Arabidopsis thaliana: one gene and its partner. The protein of the gene in region 1 interacts with the protein of each later gene in a pairwise test. Each region holds a gene or a part of one and is shown on either strand. Other genes may lie near its edges. The genes, in order: NAC089 and PYL4.

Region 1 (12,209 bases):
GTAGTTTATTGATTTGTGATAGTGTTGATGATTTGTCATCACTATATGTTCAAACCCACATAGTTATTGTTAATTAAACATAATTAATATGTTACATCAATAGAAAAAGGTGTTTACATCAATAGATGTTTTTTAGCGGTTTAAAGAAAGTTTCAAATTATGTTCTCAGAAAAAGTGGTTTGCAAATTGCAATGGTATTTACTTAATAGTTAATATATTACATTCAAAATTGTACTCACCTTAATGATTGCAGTGATCACAACAACTTTGGGTACTTACAGTCACTTCAGTGCTTCAAATATATGTTTTTAGTGTTACAATCTTCGTAAAAAAAAAGAGTTAAAAGTTCAGACCAATCAAATTTTAATCTTTTTTTAAAATTAATGATATGCCTTGTTAAATCCCGATGCTAACAATTGCAATATTTGAGTTTGAATCAATATTAAGCATATCTAACTAAAATGTTGACCTACTATCACTTGTTTAGTGTTTAAAGTTTAAACTTTGACAGCCACTAATAGTATAAGTAGGTATATACGTACGTAGACTGAATAATTGTTGATAATTTTGTATCATTTTTGTTTCACGATTCTTAGTAACAAGTAACAACGACCAGCGAGGCAGCGATACATTATATTGTTAGTTGAATAGTAGCCAACAAGTGACTTTGATTCGTTTTTATAGTTGTTGGTTGAATGATAGATTTCTTTGATAGGTCTTACGTCAGCGAAAAAATATATATTTGGTTTTGGTTTGTCCAATTGAAATTGCCAGTAGCGGTAAATATAATGATAAAAATGTGAGAAATCTACTTAAAGGATACGTGTTGTTTCTTTTGATAGTTGGGGAAAGGAACAAAACACACGTAATGTTGAATCCGACATTAATGTAAAACCAACATGCATTTTTTTTATAGTAAGTTTAGGTGAAGATTTTTCACATTTATAATAAGCATAACTCTTTTTCATGTTTTTATAAACATTTAATTTGTTAGTTCAACAACTTTGGTAACAAGTAAACCAAACCTATTTATTGTTTGACGTATGATGTGTATATATTTATGTATATACTTCGCATTTAACGCTAGAATTACATAGTGCAAAAAAAGGAAAAGAAAAAAAAGTCATTGTTCCACATTTTTCATATTAAAAACATAATTAATTGTGCCATGTACATATACATTGAACTTATAACAAGTCAACAACGACCATTTTCCATTTATAAAATTAAATATCGCAATAGTCCGAATACGTAACCTTTTGATGAGGACACAATGACACATCCATCATTTATACTAGCTATTAATCCAAGTTTAAATTTTTGTAATCACCCGTTGCAAAGAATCAATATTAATATTGCTTAGTTTTCTACAAGAATTATCCATCGTTAAGCAGTCAATATTACAAATGAAGTTAAGGATGTTTTAAAAACATAAGTATATAGGTTTCGATTTTATGAACATATCCGTTCATTGTGGATTAATTCAAACTATCAATAAATGTGGCAACAAATTAAGGAAAAGAAAAAAGAAAGAAAAATAAAAGAACATCCTTAATTTAATATTATGTATTTTTTTTTTATTTTTTTTTTTAACTAGTGCTCTTCTTGCTATGGTTTCCTGTGAGAAAATCAAGCAAAACATGGCTGTTGCATCTAGGGCATCTAGGGTCATTCTCTAAAGAAGTGATGATGTACATGATGCAATTAGGGCAGCCAACGACCACCATTGATTTAGCCTCTCCTCCTCCACCCTCAGCTTCCTCCGAGCATAACGATGACGATGAACTCTCAGTGAGCAAAGATGAATCCAACGACGGTGAAATATTTAGTTTCAGATCAAGTCCAAGGTTACTCGCAGCTTCTTGATTCATGTTCCTTGCCTTCCAAGAAGAGTATACTATGTGTGTTGATATATTATTCTACAAGAATCAGAATAAGAAACACAGTAAAACAAAACTTTAGATGGAGATCCATGGTTTATAAAACATGTATATATATAAAAAGAATTGATCAATTGAATACTTATTTTTCTATCGATCAATCAAAAAGTGAAGATGACAATAACAAAATTTCAACATATGAGAACAAAAAAAATTCGATGAGAACAAATTAACTTGGTTCTCGGGTTCCAAAGTAGCTTTACCTTGGTGAAGACTAGTAGTAGTTTAGTTCTTGTTCTTGAGATTTAAAGAGAGATAGTTTGATGTCTGCATGTTAGTGGCTGTTATATATATATAGATAGAGGAGAAGATACACGCAAGATGAGAGAGGGTCTCATTGAATGTATATTAATGAATTAGTAGGATTAGTTTCATCTAGCTTTCAAAATAAATATTCTTGTAGAAAATAATTATAATATGAGGTGTTTGTAAGCAATAAATGTAATTTGAAAATAATAGTATGCAAAAGATTGAGTATATGACTTGTGCTTTGAAATTGCATTTATTACCAAATAGTATTTGGATAATTACAAAGGAGATATTTTTGTCCATTTTCATAAATCATCATATTATTAGTATGAAAATCGAAATTCAAATTGAGAGGGAAGAAGTAGACAATGCATTTGTTTCAAACTTGGAAGGTTGTAATGTAGTTAAAATCGGTGTTGACAAAAACAAATTGTAGTTTAATGGGTAGTTGATATTATTAGATTTCTAAAGTCGTATATGATGATACTTTTTTTAATAAACCGAAAATTATTGTTGAAAAATTGATAAGTATTGGTGAATATGAATTTGGATAGCTTGACGGCTAGACGCACGGCCAACAAATGATAGAAAGATTGACCAAAAACAGATGAATGGCTTTTGACTGTTAATATTATTGACTTTTAGAATGCCAAATAGTAAAATGGAAGAATAATAAATGAGTATGTGAAAATTCATGGGAGATTTGGTTTTGTTTGACTTAGAACAAATATGGAGTTGTGGTTGGTGTCTAATAAGAGATTTATTTAGGCTCTGACTAGTGATGAAATCATGGAAAGAATATGACATAAGATTGCTTTTGTCATCTTAGACTTTCGTTAGCCTCATCAGTCAAAGTAAAAATCTAACTACACACAACCAAAGTTTGACTATACCAAGACATCGACAATGATAGAATCAATCAACCATAACTAAAGATATTACAAGTACCCTAATTCTCAACTTTTATTACAAGTACTTAAATATCTCAATCTTACACGTGAATAAAGTAAATCATCCTTCTAATCAAAACATCAGCAAGGTTTTTAACACAACAAAAGTAAATTACAACAGTTTTTACGTACCATTTGGGTTATTTATTAGAATTGATGTAACCGGAGGAAATACTAGTCTTCCACGATGTGTTTCCTCTCGAGCTCAATGAACTGTTTGTTATTATGGGAGGTTTCAGTGGCGTTTCGTGTCTCGTTCTCTCCTTTGCATCGCTGTAACTGCATTTGAAGACTTCGTACAAGGTCGTTTAGCCTCTGGATATGTCTCTCTTGTGACAAGATGATCTGTAACGATTAACAAACTAAGAATTGACAGGTCTTCTTCTATTTTCAGGTTCAAAATTATGCTGAAGTTATGAGGTTCGTCATACATCCAATGGAACTTTAAGGTTGCAAGACCAATAAGTCTATGTTTCTCCACTAACCTCATCTATTTGATGCAATCAGGGAAAACACAACAGAAGGCAAAAAAACCCCGAATATTTCTATGCAACATTAAAAACTCAGATCAGTCATTGATGGATTCCATAGACATTCTCAAAAAGAAGAAGATAGAGATATGAAAGCCAGTTACAAAGAATGTTTGTCCAGAGACTCATGAGACTAGAATGTCGAGGATAAAGTCAACAACACAACTACTAAGGCATAGTTATAGATTGACTCAAAAGGCAAGTGAAGCAGATATAGGAATCTTAAGCATCAGAGCATTCTAAGTTAACTGACACTATCCAATTATGCATATCTCTGCTACAGTTGTACTAATCTATAAGTCACAATCCCAAAACGAATTCTCAGGTCTTTCTCATACAACTGAACACACAAAACTTCAATGAAAAAGAGTTTAAGAATGAAGTAAGTACCTTCTCCTTGACAGCTTCTTCCCTCTTTGCAATTTGCTGATGTTTCTGAGACAAGCTAGGAGCTGCATCAAGCTCAAGAAGTGGTTGCCTCCATTCAAACTGAGAAGTGACTATAAGTATAACCAGAAGAAAGACTAGCATGATCGGCCTCGACATTTTCTATTCAGCTCTTACAAAACCTGTTCCAAATTTCACAATCAATCCATTTCATACCATCCTAAACACACATCCAAAGACCACGCCTAATCGAATTGAGACATATATCGAAAATGAGATCGATGCGACTTAAAATTCACCTACTCACTTCAAATTTTCTAATTAAAAACCAAAAGTAGAACAATGTAAACAGTGTAAGCTGATACTATAAAAAGCAACTCCATCAAATCAATGACCTAGGGTTTCAATACGAATCTCCTTCATATGTAACTAACTTACTAAGGATAAGCAAATAACACATACTACAGAAAAACTGAATTTCCTCAGCACAACAAAGCAAAATTGAAGCATCGTAGAAGATATAACGAAGACGATTAAGTATCTCCAACTTACAGATCGATTTATCACAGTGAAATCAAACTTCATTATCGAATCATCAGCTTTTCTAGGGTTTCTTAAACCGGAAAAATTGACGAAACTGATCGAGATCAATAAAATCGGCTTGACGGAGTATTGAGGAAACTTGACTTCTCCAAAATGGGTTCTCGTATAGAAGAAGAGAGAAAGAAACAAAAGCAGAGGTTTAATGGCGGCGAGAAAATTCTACAAATCTTAGTGCAACAACCATCTGGACGAGAAAGATAAACAGTACGGATTTGGAAAATAGTCATTTACTAATTTGCCCCCATCATTTATCCATTCTCTGATTCTCATTAAACACACCACTTAATAAGCCTTGAAGTGTAAAAACTATATCCACTAGTTCTTCTGTGCTTGATATTTCAGGTTTTGATTTGGTTGCACAGATTTGAAGTAGAAGTGTAAAACATAAACCGTTTACACAAAAACATCATATAATCCTTGTCAATGTCCGAGAAAAGATGATACAAACATAGCTAGGACACTGTTTTTCGCTACTTCCATAAGCCTCTTATTCTAGATAAAACAACATTGCTATCAGAGCCACTACACCTATAATAACATCCCATCGTGCCTTGTTCACTGATTTGATCGAGTATAAACCCACGAAGCAGCTCGACAATGATTCCGTGGCGTCTTTTCCTTTCTTCTTCTGTGATGGTCTTTCCTCTAACAGTGATGACATTTGTTTGTCTATCATGTTTGGTAAAGGAAGTACCCTTATCTCCATTGATGCTGATTCTAGTGTTGGCACTTCGTTTGGTGTGTTCCCTGTCATCACCGCTTCATCGAGATTGATGATTTCGTCTCTTAGGATATCCGCAAAGAAATCCTCGTCATTATCCACCTAAACCACACACACATAACATTCATTAAGAAGAACGACAACAATCAAGAACCATCATACAACAATTAGAAGCCAGGTGACAAAACCTGTAGATTTTCTGATGACTCTGCCATCTCAGCGAGTAGTTTCTCCCCTGATTCACCTGCTAGGTAAAAATCAACCAAGTTGTCCCAATCAGACGGGCTCCCTGAACTCGTAGCGCCATTTTGGACTTTCGCATGCTTCTCGGCTGATGAATTTGGCTTTGGTGCCTTCTGACTTGTACCACTATTGTATTCTTTGTTCCTCCTAACCCGGCAAACAACCATAGCATCATCCTAGAATTTACATAAACATAATCAATCAACTCAAGCCAAAGACAAAACTCCTAAAATTTTACTGTATTCCTCTTAGAGACTCAAAAAGTAGCCAAAGTCACCACCTCTTATGTAATGGTTAACAATTAATCTATAAGAAAAAACAAACTCTCGAGAACAGTTTTACCAGAGATACTCCTTTCACGCAGTACTCGTGCATAATCCAGTCAGTTCTTTCGCCTTTTGGTGCACGACCAATATGGAAAACAAGCGTCCTCTTTGTTCCAATGACCTCAGAACCAGACTTCACATCACGCTCTTTCCCAGTTGCTTTCCAGTATCCCATCTTCGTTGCTCTCCTGTTCTGTGAACCATGTGGATACTTTTTCCCACGCGCACAGAAGAAGAACCACTCGCTATCAGATTTCACAATCGACTTATCTGCAAAGAACAAACACACAAAAAAAATTGTCAATTCCAATCCAAGAGCCAAAAAATAGAAACTTTATATCTTAGGCACCCAAAATAGAGATCTCTCCTGAAGCCTGAAGAACAACAAAATCAAATTCCAAGTAGAAGAAAGACACAAAAGAATCAATTGGTTCGAATTCGAAGACAAACCGGGTAAATCCCAAGGCTCGAAATTGTAAATCTCAAGGTCCGGTATAACCTCAACGGACCTCTCCAAGCCATCCATCTTCCGCTTCAGGTAATACGAAATCAACTCCACATCCGTCGGCGAGAATTTAAACCCAGGAAACACCGTCGACGCTTCCATCGACGCCGCCGTATCCTTAGAAACTCCAACCGCCTTCGTGTCCATGAAGGCTCGCGCGTATACAACAGTCGCCACAAAAAGAGCGCGTAAGAAATCGGCCACCGCCCAAAGAGTAAAATCCGGGAATTTTCGATAACCTGAAGGATTTTTCTTCTCAGTGTGGTCTCTTCTCACTTGCTCAGGGAGCTTTTGAATTGTTATTGGAACACTTCACAGGTGCACACATATGGGTTTTTGCATACGTGTTGCCAAGGCATTGCTTAATCTACGTGTGCATGCCACGTCACTAAACCTAGTTATATTATAGGTTTTATTTCATTTAGACCCTTAATGTTTTTACGTACTCCCAATTTACGACTTATTGTTTAGTGTTTTCAGATAAAGTCCCAATATATATCCGAAATCTTACTATCGATCAATCGCTCACAATTATATATCCCAAAATATCTTGTTCAGGATCTCGTAATCAACAAGCGTTACCTCAAAGTTTTTGTTGATTTGAAGCTTAAGGGTTAACCACTTATCATTACAAGAAAACTTATCCTTCTTGATGGATTTCAACTGCTCCACAAGACTTTCCATATAGTTAAGTTTAATCAAAAACTCATGTTCAAAAAAGCTAAACAAGAAAGGTGAATTTTCGCAAATCTCCCTCCGTAAAACCTCGTACGTCTTCGAAATAGTATTAGTAGTAAAATCTGTGGACTATGTTTCTGTGTCAAGGTACGACAGGGAAAACGAAATGTATGAGTGAACTTTATTGTTGTTTCCATGATGAAATGGGGTTACAAATTACGATCAAATTATACTCAAATCATTATTTGTAAAAAAACTAAAGTGATATTAACGTGGTTAACTCTGTTCTGTTAATTTTTTTGGTGATGTGAATCCAAAAATTACTTTGAAAGTTTCTCGTACAATTAAAAGTTTAAAGTTGATGATGAACGGAAACTATAAACAATCATAACAAGAAATTCTCCAAATTATTTCAGCAACAAATTTATATTTTGTCAAGATCAACAATGATCGATAACGATAATATGATTTAAGAGTTTTTTCATACCAAAACTCTTTAGAATTAAAAATCCTCCTTTCATAGGCCTTTGAACTAAAAAATAGAACTCTTCAACAATATTTTAGTCAAAAGCTAATGATACGTGAAAGAGTTCGATACCTTTTATAACACCATCCAAGGATATAGATCAAGTCTAAAACTAAGAAAAGAGATAAACATCTAATCTTCTAATCCTCATACCTTCGAAAAGTAAACAATAATTAATATTGAATGCTAACAAGTAACAACCAAAATATATAAACAAACGCTTTGTTTGGTTTTTAAGGTTGGTTTGTTATCGAGGGGGTATTTTATCTTTTGAATTTTGTAAAAAATCTATAAATATAGGTGATGATTTTAGAAAAAAATGAGGATTTTTTTACACATTTTGGCATTTCCCCCTACAGTTAAAAAGAGAGTAAAAATCAAAATATATATCATGTGTTGTACAAGTAAACACCTACCAACCAAGCCCATCAAGAAGATACTACTACTAGAATCACTCATTTCCTCTATATATCTTATTGGTGACAAACTGACCAGTCACCAATAAATGTCTCTAGTCACGGCGGCTCCTCCGGTCAACATCGATCAAATCTTTCCCGTGGTTGACGTATACACTTGCGATTCTTCCTCCATCGTACAATATGCATGCATATAAATACCAATATAGGTGATGGTTATTGTAAATGTTTTTAGAGAAAATGAGGATTTTTTAAACCCATTTTTCCCTTCACTAAAAAAGAATCGACACACAAAAAGAGAGAGTTTATAAAATACACGATAATATCAAAGTTAAACACACACCAACCAAGTAAACAAGATACAACACAATTGGAATCTTTCTTCTTTGACAAAAAAAAAAGGAATCTCTCTCTTTCTCTGATTCTCTCATGTCCATGCAACAAGAAACGTCTCACATGACGGCGGCTCCACAGACCAACGGCCATCAAATCTTCCCTGAGATTGACATGTCCGCCGGCGATTCCTCCTCCATCGTACGAGCTACAGTCGTCCAAGCCTCTACAGTCTTCTACGATACTCCCGCCACGCTAGGTTCGTTCCTGTTTTCTCGATTTTTGATTCACTATGGTTGGTGAGATCGCTTTCGATGCCTTATCCACGAAATTTTGTCAGATAAGGCAGAGAGACTGCTTTCTGAGGCAGCGGAGAATGGATCTCAGCTAGTGGTGTTCCCGGAGGCTTTCATCGGTGGATATCCACGTGGCTCTACCTTTGAATTGGCTATTGGTTCTCGTACCGCTAAAGGACGAGATGACTTTCGCAAGTACCATGCTTCTGCCATTGATGTTCCTGGTAATAAAGTCCTCCACCATATCTCCGATTATGTTCTCACTTTTTTTCTTTCGATTTTGGATCTTAGCATGAATACCAGGGCACGCACTTATTACCACATAAATCCATTGTTCTCTAACTAGCTACCAACATAGAACAACTAGGCAACCCTCTTTTATATTCACTTAGGTCGCGTGTTCGATTCACGTTCACTGCACCATTTGATAAGTTTGAAGCTATGAACTCTTATCTTTTATCACTTCTCATTCCAAGATACAAACTCAAGAACTACCCTAACAATGGAGATTTTTTCAAGAGATCTCCTAACTCTCCTCCATAAAACCATACGTTTGTTAAAAACACATCAATACATGCATAACTTCATCAATTCTCTTGACAAGAGGTTACAAAATCTGTTTCTTCTTGCTCTGTTTTAACTCCTTTTCACATGACTTCTATGCTTCTCTTTGCTTATTCACGTGTCTCATAACCTCCTTTTCAGCTACCACACGTATCTCCTAGCTTATCACACTTAAGATCTAATAAATTCTCACCAAAGCCGTCTTTAAAACAGCTTCTGTTCTACTACGACACTGTAACAGAAACTGCAACAAACAACCAAGGTGGTTCTTGTTTTTTTTTGGTATCAAGGTGGTTCTTGTTGCTTTGAGGGAGATGCCTCTTCCTTCTTACATGAGAGCTTGTAGCATCACCAAGATCTGACCAGTTCATCAAGAGACGTAGCTTGGTTGCTCCACCCGTGACTCCACAACAAGCTTCATTCAAGGGAGGCACAGATGCTCCAAGAGTAAGAAGTTGTAGATAAGATCATTTCAGCAACAGTCACATGGGCTTAACTTATGAAAGGCCCAGTGACTTGGGCTTTCACATGGGTCAATCTCATAGCCAATAAACCCAACAATTGTTAGTGTGATCATCTACTAACAATTGAGTGTTTCAGTCTCTACTAGTTATAGTGTTTCTTGAATCACCAAGTGTGTGTAAACTGTAAATTACATTCTACTTATTCATCTGTGCCATCTTGTGTTAGGCCCTGAAGTGGAACGATTAGCGTTAATGGCCAAGAAGTACAAAGTATACTTGGTTATGGGTGTGATAGAGAGGGAAGGCTACACGCTATACTGCACCGTTCTTTTCTTCGATTCACAAGGTCTGTTCTTAGGTAAGCACCGCAAACTCATGCCTACAGCTCTTGAACGTTGCATTTGGGGATTTGGAGATGGATCAACCATCCCTGTGTTCGATACTCCTATTGGGAAAATCGGTGCTGCTATTTGTTGGGAAAATAGGATGCCTTCTTTGAGAACCGCAATGTATGCCAAAGGTTAGTCTCTCTTTAGCTTCTACAAAGGGACAATGTATCAGTATGTTGCTTGTGATTTGATCATGTTGGTGTGTTACACTGTTGTGTTTTTTTTTGTAGGCATTGAGATTTATTGTGCACCTACTGCTGATTCAAGAGAAACTTGGCTAGCATCAATGACTCATATTGCACTTGAGGGTGGATGTTTTGTTTTGTCAGCTAACCAGTTTTGTCGTCGGAAAGACTATCCTTCTCCGCCGGAATACATGTTTTCCGGTTCAGAAGAGAGCCTAACACCGGACTCTGTTGTCTGCGCTGGTGGAAGCTCTATCATTTCACCTTTGGGAATTGTTTTAGCTGGACCAAACTATAGAGGAGAAGCTCTTATCACAGCTGATCTAGGTATATTATTAATTAACATTTGTTAATCATCATCATTCATTCTTGAACAAAAAGTTAACTAATCATATCCTATAAATCTCTAACAGATCTTGGGGACATAGCACGAGCCAAGTTTGATTTTGATGTGGTCGGACATTACTCGAGGCCTGAAGTGTTTAGCTTGAACATAAGGGAGCATCCGAGAAAAGCGGTCAGCTTCAAGACGTCAAAGGTAATGGAAGATGAATCCGTCTAACAAATGATCATTTGTTAGACCCAAACTTTCTCTGTAATTTGATGAAGTTTATCTGTAGTAAACTTCAAGACTTGTGTTGTAATTGAAATCGATAAAAAATCTAAACCGTTAGATTGAGTGTTGTCTTCTATTCCTCGTTTATACTATGCTTGGTTCTGCTCGTTCCATGTTCTTCAAATTTGTACATGAAACTAGTGATTCAATAACTTGTTAGGGATTAAGATGAGTCATTTTTACGAAAAAGATGAAAGAAAAACAAACCCAAATGGCCAAAACAAATAAGCTACCAATTCTCTCTACTCTTCCGCAACACAACACTCTCTATGGGTTTGGGCCTTGTTTCCTTATTTATTTCCCTGTCTCTTGGAATGGGCTTAGGCTTTTCTGTTTGTATCCACCCTGTGAAAACCTAAAACATTCATATAAATTGTTTTTTTTTGGTTTGGCATAGAGGATAAGCAACACATTCGTACCGAAACAAACCGAAATATGGAATTTTAAAAACTCTGTTTTATAGGTTTAAAAATTATGTAATCAAGTTCTGGGATAAAAATACGAAGTATATTAATATATAGGAAAACTCATATTTTTAACATTCAAAGTGTTATTTGGTAACACCAAAATCGAAACGAAAAGTCTGCCCATGTTTGAGACGATCTGTCCACTGACAGTTGATTTGCTAGTTGCTATATTAGTAACATCAATGTCTTCAAAATAGTGATTTTGTAGGTAGGTTCATTGTATATATCAATGTTTATTATACAGACAAAGGAGGAGACAAAGAGATAAACCACACACGAACTTGATAAGATCATCACTCTGACAAAATATCTCCCTATAATGCGAATGTTTTTAGCATTTGACCTTTCTCATTCAATGAGAGAAAATTAGTTAGCCTAGTGGCACTATATTATGCTTCAACTTTAGTAGTTTTATTTTGTTATACGAGTTAATGATTTATCCCTAAACTATGTAAAAGTATGAAACAAAAAAAGAAAGACAAACTTTTGGAACCCAAAACCCCTTGATTTGGTTTAATGGTACATATATATATGGTTCTAAGCTAAAATATTATATTGAGTGGGGGACATAGAGTAAGGCTGATTGGTATATGCATATATCTTTCACACGAATTGACCTATTACCTAATCATGTGTATATATGATCGAAAAATGAAGATCCGTTATTGTTCGTTATTGTTCATGTCATCTTATTAATTTTTGTAACTTTTTTGGTTGAATTGTTACCAAATATTCCCAAATAGGGTAAAACGTAACGGATATATAGTTGAGACAAAATCACATGGGAAGATGGAACGATGCTGTCCAAATGTCTAGACAAT
Region 2 (12,045 bases), on another chromosome or scaffold:
TCAGGAATTGTATATGTATCGTCAACTTTAAAGTTGTCGAATAGAAGTAGTGGCCTAGTGGGTCAGACAAAACTAAGTTGTTTGTTTTGGTTATTTAAATAAGATTGTACTTTCTCGGTGTAGTTTCGTATCTTTCTTGGTTTGCAAGTGAAGGCGACTATCGATTAATTTGGTGTTACCGAGAAACCCCCTTGGCATTCTTCATAAAGCATAATAGACATCTGAGAAAGGTGTGGCCACAGGGGGTCACTATGGTATTTGCGAGCGCCCTTTTGGATTTTCATAATCCAAATATGGTTAGAGATGGTCAAATAATATAATATGTAAACGTAAGGTTAAGTTGTTGACGTTTCCACATTCATACTATTCGTTGCCTTCAAGTTACCTCAAAATTCGATTTTCCTTGCTTCGTAGTTTTTGAAAGTATAATTTTATTTCTTGTTTCTATATGTTCTGTCTTTTTTTCTTCTTCTATATGTTTATATATTTCTATAAGTTTTTGTTATAGTAGGGGGATAGATAAAACTAATAAAACATTATATATCGTATTATTTTATAAAATTATTATTTTAATGTTTTTGACATAATCAATAACCAAATAGTCGTGTTAAAAAAAAAAAAATCAATAATCAAATAGTGAACCATTTATCTCATTCTATGACATGATACATCTATTTCTATTTGATAGTTTATGTTTTAGTTTGTTAATTGTAGAAATTCATCATTTTCTTATATTTTTTGTTGTATAGTTTTCAACTATCTTACTCTGAATTAGTTAGAATTAAGTTTTTTTTAACGAATTGTATTGAAAGTTTAGAATAGGGATGACAGACGGGTCTTCCCGCGACCAAACACATTTTTGCCCATTTTAATGATGAATTTGGTTCATAATTGATTTAGATGCATATACTGGAGACTATCACATATGGAAACCAGTCACTTGTATTTTTGGTTCAAATGTCTTTTTGGTTGATATGTTTCTCTAACACAATTTTGTTCTCTCTCTAAAATTCTCTCAATTCACTAAGAGTCTCACAATCTCACCCATTAATTTACATATAGTTACATATGCAATTTCTTTTATATAACCATAGTGGAGTTGATGAGAATTAAGTTCCATTCCGGCTCACCAACTGGTTCGATATGCAACAATATCATTGGTGCGCAAACCTTAAACAAATACATAACTTATGTGATCTATTTTGGACTACATCTAATAACCTTGGAACGATATACACATAGTTAACACAATCTTTCTCAAAGAAGGCATTCACGAATCAAAAAAAGTTGTCTAAACCTTATTAATGTGTCGTGTGTGGCGTAAAAGAAAATAAAAATGCGTCGTGCATGCGTGAAATTCATACTATTCATACTATTAGTTATTACACGTAGGTTGGGATTGCGATTCTTAGAAATGACCGGGTCCAGTTGGGCATACAGGCGGATGCTATAGGCCCATAAAAAGAAGTTTTAAACCTTTCTTTTGGGGGGTTTATTTTAAGTTACAAAACTAATTTCAAATTTTGTTACATTGTGTTAGGTTAGGTACGATTGTCTCTATACGCTTTTGTGGATAGTATTTCTTGTACACAACTTAACATTAGCAGATCGATATTTTTACAAGTTAACTTACCATCTAAAAGCATACATTGCATGCTTTACGCGTTATAACAAATCAACAAATACACCAATGCAGATTTTTCACATCGAAAACATGCTGCAATCGGTATTTTAAAAGTCCTATAACACGGATGACTCAACTCCATGATACAAAAAAGCCATGTATTAAAAAGGCTATTGGAAAGATTCTTAAACAATTCGTCAATACTTATGGCCTTGGACCTTCCAGATGATATTTATAACAGAAAATAAAAAGAATTATGAATTAGTACAAATGATAAATTACCTTAACCCGACCCCAACTACAATTATGGCCATACGCCGATGTAGGTGGTTCGGTCTAGAAGCATCACATGAAGCCTCTTTATATAACAAGAAGCGATATACTAATATGTGGCAACTTGTGAATTATATTCATATACACTTATATTCGATTTTTATTTTTATTTTCCTTTTCTCCAACGATCGGAAATTTGGGCAGAGGTCCAATCAAATTATAGGAAACAGTGGCGTGATGGATCGCAAAGGCACATATACTTTCATTTTTATGTTTTGAGAAATAAGAAAATTCATCAATTTGTAAATCACAATTAATATGTTTTGCCCAACTTGCAAAAAAATCGCAGCTACCCCACTTCCACTTGCACCGCCAACTCTTTCCCATCCCTTTTTTTTGTTTTTACACCTTTCGTGGCCACATTAAGTATGTATCTTATGAAGTTATGATTAGTAAAGCTATGCTATATTTGTCGATATTTGACGACCACAAAAATTAGTAATTGAAAGTTATAACATTTTGTGTATTTTTATGCTATTCCTATTATCGACTGAAAATTTTGTAGTGATGATGGTTACGTAACCATAGTGGTGAACCTCGATAATGATATTGCAAACATAGAAGTAGAAGGTTTTAGATCTAAGGAAAATGAAATCTTTCATTTCATACGATTCATGTTTTGTCGATCAATCACATATCTTTTTGTGGATAGAAGTGTAGAAACCTCTCGAATATATTGAAAAAAACACATTTATATAATTATATTCTAAGAGATCACTTGGAAACGAAACATATCGTGACTCTCGTGATGTAAAAGGACATGCAACTTGCGCTTCTCTCTATTCCATATTTCTTTATTATTATACGAAATTTAATATTATATCTTTTGGATTGGGAAGAACCATAAAGAAAGGAAGTAAAAGATAAAAAAAATTGCAACTTGCATTTTCTTTATATCAAGCGGGAAAAAAAAAGAAGAAGAGAACAGCTTGGCTTGTTGGGTTATCATTCAAAGCATCGTCCACTTGCAAATTTTTATTTCTTTAAATTCATCAACATGTTCGTTTTTTATTTTTTATATTTTGACGGCCATGTTCATATTTTTGTATACATGTATGTTTTGTCCATTTTACGCAATTACCTTTAAGCCTGAAAATCCCCAACTACTCCCTATTTTCTACCAAATAGTTTATGATGACAAATAAAAACTTCAAATCTTGAATTCTCTATCAAATGTTTGATTTTTAAATAACAACTTCACGCTCAATCGGTTATTTTAATTATTATGAAATAATAAGAAAGTAAAAAGTTTGAGGACCTAGTTAAATCATAGAGGAAAGGAACACATTATATTATGCCCAAATTTAAAGTTGCCTTTAAGAAAAATCGTCGAATTTCACAAAAGCTGTTTATACGTACGTAAATTTATCTACACACATTAGATGGCCAACAACTCAATGTAACGAGTTAATATACATCCGAGTCGAACATCATATTGTACCATTTCATTTACGCTTTTTCTGATGAAACTATAGAAAAACAAGATTAATTAAACTTGAAAATCACACTTTTAATTAGCGGACAACACAACCACATTCTTTCAGTTTGAATATTATTATCTTTGGGTGGTGAAAGCCGGAATAGGGCTATCCAAATCGGTTCTTTATGGGATATGTAAAATACAAAAATTAAAAGAAGGATTATGATATGCATGAGAGATTAATTCACTAATGTAACTTTTTTTTCACACATAAGCCGAAAAAACATAGATCACACGACGGCTAAAAATCTAGAAAACGACGTCGGATCTAACGAAACTACCCGACAACGACAAAGACTCATCACAGAGACATCTTCTTCTTGCTCTCAGCCGCAGTATTCTCGGCTATTTTCGCAAGAGATTGAAGATTGCATCGTACGATAACGTCAACGAAGTCACAAGTCTCTTCCTTTGTGTTGCCTGGAGGAACATCAACGACGTAAGACTCGACAACGACGGTCCCGGAGATCGGAGAAGGGTGAAGGGTCGTTACGGATCGGTAGTTAGAGAGCCGGTGGTCACCACCAACAACGCTGAAGCTGATGACGTGGCGTTCGTCGTCGAGGATATCGAGTCTCTCGGTGGAGCTAGCGGCGGGGAGACCAGAGACGACGTGGACTTGACGGAGGCTACCAACGTTATCGCCGTCTCCGCCGATGACGCTACAGCTTTTGAGAAAGTGTTTGTAAGCTTGTGGGTTATCAAAGCGGCGTACGACGGACCAAACGGTGGAGATTGGAGCGGAGATCTCTTGAATAACGGCGGAGCAACACTGATTAGGACCAACCTCGTGTGTGTGAAAACGAGCGGCCGTGGAGTCGCGTGAGAGAGAAGGAAAACGTTTTTGAAACGACGCGATCATCATCGGAATCTGAACGGAATCTCCGTCTGATACGGCGGAAGAAGGACGGTGAACGGCAAGCATGTTGATCTGAGTAATGGTGTCTTCTTGATTTCAAATCTTGATCTCTTCTTTGAGATGGTATTAGGGCTTAGAAAAAAAACTGAGGATTGAAGAGGAAAGTGTATGGAGGAGAAGTATGTGTGTATATAAAAAGAAGCAAATCAAACTTTACAGCGACTTGCGAAAAGTTGGGCTGTGCCTTTCGATTTGAGAGAGATAGAGTTTTTAATGCAGAGTTCATGTGAGTGGTGATAACGAAAAAACCGAGCAAGTTGCTTGTTGTGAAATTACGGTTTTGCCCCTTGCTATAGTTGTTGACTTGACTGTTTTCTATACACGATATTTTTAATTGGGCAAGTGACCAATATATAATTCTCGTATATCAACACTAGAATTATAATATGGGTTTAGACTTTTAGTTTCTTGACCATAACTTTTTTCTCTTCTTCTTGAAATGACCAAGGTATATCTAGGACGAGATTCGTTTGATTGAATACGCTTTAAGAGTTTCGATATTTGGAACGATTGGAATGTAAGATCAAATTCATCAAAACATACAAAGTGAGAATTCTTTCAACTTAGAAGTTCTTCAATTGTTATTTCATAGTATGGCTAGATATATGAGTTTTCAATTGCATATATCTAGCCATACTATATATATGAGTTTTCAATTGCAAAAAAAAAAAAGGTTTTCAATTGCATCAGATGCAAATCTAGATATTTGAAGTATTCAACATCAGAGCCGAATACCACAAAACTAAAAGTGGTACAACCATATATTTAATTACCTGAGAGATTTGATGAACAAGCAGAAGGAGGAACTTTTTGAATGAAAAGTATTGTATTGCTTTTGCTTTGATATGATCTTCAATATACAAAAAAAGGAGCACACAAACAAAAGGGCATGAAAAACCAATCCTCACTAAGAAACACATTTTAAACTATACAAACTAAGGCCCAAATTGTTTTTAGAACCAAACTTTTAATTGGGCCGTATTTTGGAAAGAAAAACTGGTCTATCACAACATACTTTTGTTGTTTGGTTTGGTTACGTTGGCTATAGTATCTAGCTTCGTTATAGGTTGTCTCTTCTTCTACATTGTAACTAGTATTATAGATTTCTATTATTCTCTAGGATATTAGAGTTTACCTAAAGATGTGGAGTTGGCTGATCAGACACAACAAAACGTTCGAAGATATATTTTTGTTGCCGTCGAGGAATTCAATTTCGAGGTTGGGGAAGAATGTGTCGTCTGCCTTGAAGAATATAGCGAGTCTAGACATCCATTGGCCAAGTTGGAATGCCGTCACCGGTTCCATTTTAGCTGCATAATAATATAAACACAAAACATTTACTTGATGCTCTGTTTTCAAGCATTCTGTCTTGTTTCTTTACATTCATAACTCTGGGTTTTCAAACCTTTAACAACTCCGGACATGGACACAAACCCCATCTTAATGATAAGTCATAATACAATGCTATTAGTTCTTTATAATTGCTGTAAATTTTGAATATAAATTTTTTTGATAAGAATAGATTAATATTGTGTATTGAGCTTCACACACATCTTAATATATAAAGCAAAATTAATTCAGTTTTTGTTAACTTAAAATTATCATAAAAATCAAAAACTCGCACAAAGGACGGGTTCTAATATAGTTGATATATATGTTTTACATCTTTTCTTGCTAACATTCTACTAATATCTATATATCTACATAAAAGTACTAGAGAGAATTACCTGCAAGTGAGATTTGAGATATACACAGATGAGTGTATAATATGGTCAGCGGGTCAGGATATGTAACTTTTGTTTGATTATGGGTTTGAAAATGTGCAAATAGACAGACATTACTTCAACTAATTGAGAATAATGTTGGATCCGTATTTGTAGGAATAAAAAATAACTGTTAATTAGAGGTTGACTTCACAGTTCACAAGTCGGGTTCGGGTGTACAAGAATCTTGTCAGGTCACACCTAACTCTTATGATCGTCTCTTAGTTTTTTTTTTCTTTTTTTTTCACAGGCTTAATGGACCCTTTTGTCTAATTTGATGGCATATCTCACAAACCATCCAGTTCCATGTTTTTATAAACATGCTTTTTAAACCTTTAAAATGAAGGACACAAATTAGGATTCTCGGTGCAAAATTGCATGTGGACGTGTAGAAGCAGAAGGAAGATGGAAATTAAGTGTAAAGAAGAAAGGAGTGGTGACGAGAAGCTTGTGAAGGATCGATGGCAAGTCTCTTTACACGTGGGGGGAATGACAAAGTTCTTCTTTTTTCTACTTCATCAAAGCTTACAATTTCCTCTCCTCAACAACTTTTTTTGTTTTTTTTGGTAGGGAACAACTTTTTTTGTTTGGCTAGCAGAATTTTATTTACTAACTGGAAAATATGAACTTAAGCCTATAGTTTAATCTCATGAACTCATAATCTCCATTTAATTCTGCAACGAAGTTTTATTGGATGGCATGTACCCGAATCTATAGTAGATATATACAACTGGAAAACAGTATTGTATATTGTTTTCGTGATGCACCAAAAACTTATGATTGAAATTTACGTAGAAATAAAACAGTACAATTTGTTAGACATGTTAATAGAACTGATCTTGTGAGTGCTCATATTTCTTGGAATTCCAAGAGGACTTCGAAAGCATAATTGGATCTAAAATATATTATATCATAAGCATATATACGTGAGAATGTATTTATCTTATTGTTTTCATAATAGAAGTGGTAAAGGTAAATATTCAAACTAATTGTCGAAATATGCGGAAGAGGTAGTATTCAATGGCTTACGATGACTAAAATCGTAATTACAAAAATCACCATAAACTCGTCTAAAAAGACTTTCTTTGCAATTAAAATTAAACCATATAGGACTTCGATTTATACGGTGTCAAATTTTATAACTATGTATGTTAATATTACATATTTTTGGAACGAACGATGTAAAAAAACGGCTCAACTAACAACGCTATTCATCGCTTCACGGGGTCGGATGTGTAACGTAAACCAAGCAAGGACCACTTTACACATAAACTAATTCTCTCATACGAATCTACAAAAATACATATAAAGATAATATATAATTTTGGGGTAAGAGAGGAGCATTGTCCCGTGATTCTCGTCGAACAAAAAACAGAAAAAGAAAGAAAGAAAGAGGTATGTGTGATGATGTGGTCTACATCAAAGACAGCTGAGCAGTCACACGCCTTGTAATCGTAATTTATTCGTCTATCTACCACTCTCGCTCTTCCATTTTTTGCCTTTAGCATTCAATTCCACGCAAAACCCTAAACCTCATAATCTCATCAAAAAGTTTTAAAGATAAATATATATGAATCTACCCATTAATCAATATATTAGTTAGTATTGTGATTTATCACTTTCTAAATACTAAAAAGTACTCAGAAGATTAGAAGGTTGATTTTAAAAATAAATTTTCTAACTAATTTGATCGCTATATCAATAGAAATGAGAGGATTTAAAATCCATCAAGTATAGTTCACTTCGATAAATTAATATTTTGTATAAATTGATTCATGTCACGTACTGGATCTTTTAAATCGTTGAGGATCAAAAATTATTTTGCAACAAAAAGAAAAACAGAAGGAAAAGAAAGTTTAGTTAACATTAATTTTAAACCAAATGTCTTAAGAAAAAGACAATGATCTCGATCATCAATGATCCTAATTCCGACAAAACTACTCTGAGGTATATTATAATTTTGTGAATTCGATTTTGTATTTAATTATTTTTCCTGGAAACTGCATCACGGTATCAAAAAATTTAAAATTCTTCATTTTTTTGTTTTCTTCTAAACTCAAATAACGTCTCAACTATACTAATATCTTTCTTATTTTCTTATAATTATTAATTTTTTTTTTTTTTTTTTTTTTGTTGTTGTTGTAAATAGTCTTACTTATACTAACTAATTCATTCATAGACTGTTAGTCCCGATACATGAATTTTATCTATATCGATCTTTGTAATCGAAATGTTTGTTTGACGAACTAAGGCAATCTAAGACTACTAAGAATATGCTATATATAGAGCCTAATTTCTATCACACTCATCTTAGCCTTTGGTGAACAATAATATAGAATAAGTGTTACTTGTAATTTGTTGGCATGTTAAGGGTATAAACAACAATTTATCTCATTTATAGGAGTAATAGTTTTCTCCCTCCATGGTTGATATTAATATGCATCCACATATTAAAATATACAACTATTTATATATAGAGCTGTCTATAGTAGAAAAGGGCCGAAATCAATTAGCTGTGAACAGAAAAGAAAACTTTTTAACATATGCAACAAGATTTAGGTGAGGGTTTGTCTACATGTTCCGGGAAGAGAGAGAGAGAGAATCAGAAGTGTATCTTGATCTAGGGTTCACAGACAAAATCTCCATGCTTTGAACTAAGCAGAATTCATCTGGTCTTTTATCTCTTTCATATCAAACCAAAGGATTGATCTATCCATATCGTCCAAAACCTATATCTAGCTAAGCCTAGAACTTCTCTATCGTTTACCACTTTCTTTCTATATTTCTTCTGAATTTGTAACATCAGAAGTAATAATGATTCCAAGTATGGAGGGAGGCGGGAAGACTAACAGAGAAGAAGAGGAGGAGGAAGAGGAAGAAGAAGAAGAAGGTGAAGAGAGTAAGGTTTCAAGCAATAGTACAGTGGAAGAGAGCGACAAGAAGACTAAGGTTAGGCCTTATGTGAGATCTAAAGTCCCTCGACTCCGGTGGACTCCTGATCTTCATCTTCGCTTTGTCCGCGCCGTTGAGAGGCTTGGAGGTCAAGAAAGTACGTCCATAGCTACTAACTTCATCTTTCATCACCTCCTCCACATATATATAAAAGCATAAGCAATTTCTTAGTTATTCTTAGGTTAACTATTTGGTCAAAACCTCATGTGATTTTCTTTTTTTTAATGTGTATGTTTGGTTATGTATAGGAGCAACTCCAAAGTTGGTTCGTCAGATGATGAACATCAAAGGGCTTAGTATTGCTCATGTCAAGAGCCATCTACAGGTATTTGATCTACATACATCTAAAACGTACCTATATATGTGTTGTATTTTCGATTTCGTTTCAAATAATCTCTGAAATTAGAAAAAAAAAGAAATCACTAAATTGTGTATTGGAAAATTTTAGATGTACAGAAGCAAGAAGATAGATGATCAAGGTCAAGGTATTGATTCTTTCTATTTGTGTTCATTAGTTAGTTATCAAGTTATACATGTATAGGCCAATAAAGTGGGGTTTGAATTGTTGGCAGCTATAGCTGGTCACAAACATCTCTTCGAGACTTCCACAGATCGAAATATTTATAAACTAAGTCAGCTACCGATGTTCCGAGGCTATAATCATAACCATGATTCTCCATTCAGGTTGATATAACTTTTTTTTTTGAAAATTTTAGATTTTATGTGTTCCTTAATTTGAATGATATTCCGTTTTAATTATATTTATTCGGAAACTAAATTAATTGTCTTCTTTTGTTTTTGGTAGATATGGAAGTAAAATTTCAAATGCTTCTTTGTGGAACTCTAGCTCTCAAGGAACAGAAAGGAGTTTGATAGACCAAATTAGGCCCGGTTTAATCCGCAACGCGTCGGTTAGCAATAACATCCGTGGTAGTGATTATTGGACTAACAACAAGTCTTTCCAAAACATCTACTCTTCTTCAATTTCTAATCACTTTCCGAAACTACGACACGATCATCACGAACGGACCAATTCAGTCACATTCAACAGCATTCAAGGACACTCAAGAACTTTTCAAAAGTTCCATAACGGTGTTGAGGAGAACACTAATCATTCTTATTGTAGCAAGACAAATGGCAAAAGAGACGCAAGTAGGAGCATTGATCTTGATCTATCTCTTAAGCTAAGACAACCGGAGAAGACAATTTTGGAAGAGACAGAAACAGCAGCAACAACAACGGATCAAACGTTGTCCTTGTCGCTATGTCCAGGGTCGTCTTCGTGGAAAAAGAGCCGACTGATGAAAGATGAAGAGGATCGGACGGTTAAGATTGGTCAGGAGAGTACTCTGGATCTGACTCTATGAATTATATTTAAGAATGAGACAAATTCTAAGTGAGATCTTGAGGTACTTACCGATATCTTAATATTCAGTGTCGTTGTTGTTTATCATTAATCATGTATTTTCTTTATTATTAGAAAGGAAACAAAAATGTTTGATTATATTAACGGTCTTGAGTTTGTTTGATACCGCCAATTTGTATCATCACATATATAAACAAATATTACTAGCCACATCATAATGATTCGATCTTTTGTCTTCTCATAGCAATATACTATATGAAAATTACATATACATATAACAACAAATTTACATCGATTAGAGTATCTCTGCTGGTGAGCTTCATTCATTTGTAGATGAGACTTTTACGTAAATAGTACAAAAATTTTGGTTTCGTATTTATCCGAACAGTACATGGACAATTTTGTAGTTCCAAAACATGTTATAGTTAATAGTAGTGTTTTCAATAATTTCCAAAATCCATCTTCACTCATTTTTCCCTTTTCAGAGACATAGTGAAACAATTTTACACTATGCAAATCCGAAGCCAATTATTTTTGAGGTTTTTACTATATGTGAACAAGATTAATACTTAAACAACAAGACACACCTCGTTCTTTGTAAATATTAAAGAGGTTAAAGATCATAATACAAAAAAAAACATAGAAAAAGTTCACAAATCATCAAATCTTTTGAGTTCATTATTCTATATAAAATTTTATCTCGTGAAATGTTTATTGTATAAGGATGTGATTAGTTGCAAACCAAAAATTAATGTTTAATAGTATTTGATAGGGAACTTATTTCAACTGTGTAAAATTTTCCCGGTAAAATTTTCGTTCAATCAGTCGATTCTAAGAACATGAATCTTATTGAATCTCTAATAATTTATTGTATAATATGGTGGCACCTATACGTCAATACGATAATGACGTCGTTAATAGTAACGTTGAGAGTTGAGACTGTTGTATAATTTTGATTCGACGTGCCAAATACTACGTTCGACCAAGTATCAATTTTGATTTTCCAAAAAGAAAAAACAAGAAACTTAGGATCTCCGTTAGTTTGATTGGATACACTGATACTGTTTCGATATTTAGACAAACAAATGGAATCTTTGCTTCTTAAACATTCGATGCGTGTGTGTACCTGGTCAACTTCTTCAGACTTCATTATCAAACATGGCCGCACGATCAGTTTTATTTTGCTACTGGAGAATTAACTTATCCACCTCAGAATCTAAACTAATTTCTGAAACTATATAAGTGTTTTTTGGGGCTAAAAATAAGATGCATGAAGTGAAAGTATCCTAGTGGTTAAAAAGGGGTGTAAACATAACGTTTAATGTTGTATCCCTTTATATGTACCTCTAATGTCCCTCTTTATTTACTTTTAATGATTTTTAAGACTAAATATCTTCAGTTGAAGTAGGTAATCTTTTTGCCAAATTAGTCTTCGCAATACACGGATCGATTTCCTTATAAGATATTAAATTTAACTCATTCAAAAAATATTAAATTTGCAATGACTTATAAGATAAATAAAAACCAAGGTCCATATCTTATCCCAATTTGTTTTTTTTTTTTGTATACCAAATTTGTCTCCTATATTGTTTTTATATGTTTATATTC

What was found.
Region 2: the proteins of NAC089 (region 1) and PYL4 interact in binary tests that used the Arabidopsis thaliana proteins (3 or more experiments, as listed by UniProt).

What each region holds. Positions count from the first base shown.
Region 1 is NC_003076.8:7,370,898-7,383,106, forward strand, and holds NAC089 (NAC domain containing protein 89), read right to left. Parts: upstream 6,880-12,209; 5' UTR 6,602-6,879; coding exon 6,400-6,601; exon of another isoform or gene 6,220-6,399; coding exon 5,966-6,219; intron 5,800-5,965; coding exon 5,569-5,799; intron 5,483-5,568; coding exon 5,147-5,482; 3' UTR 4,942-5,146; downstream 1-4,941. Other genes in the region: AT5G22270 (uncharacterized protein), read right to left, coding at 1,590-1,871; AT5G22280 (peptidyl-prolyl cis-trans isomerase G), read right to left, coding at 3,375-3,629, 4,060-4,215; NIT4 (nitrilase 4), read left to right, coding at 8,504-8,666, 8,748-8,927, 9,958-10,251, 10,351-10,632, 10,719-10,867. UniProt on the Arabidopsis thaliana protein: Transcription factor involved in plant cell division.
Region 2 is NC_003071.7:16,042,568-16,054,612, reverse strand, and holds PYL4 (PYR1-like 4), read right to left. Parts: upstream 4,696-12,045; 5' UTR 4,363-4,695; coding exon 3,739-4,362; 3' UTR 3,257-3,738; downstream 1-3,256. Other genes in the region: AT2G38300 (myb-like HTH transcriptional regulator family protein), read left to right, coding at 8,934-9,168, 9,320-9,396, 9,520-9,556, 9,644-9,755, 9,877-10,438. UniProt on the Arabidopsis thaliana protein: Receptor for abscisic acid (ABA) required for ABA-mediated responses such as stomatal closure and germination inhibition. Inhibits the activity of group-A protein phosphatases type 2C (PP2Cs) when activated by ABA. Can be activated by both (-)-ABA and (+)-ABA.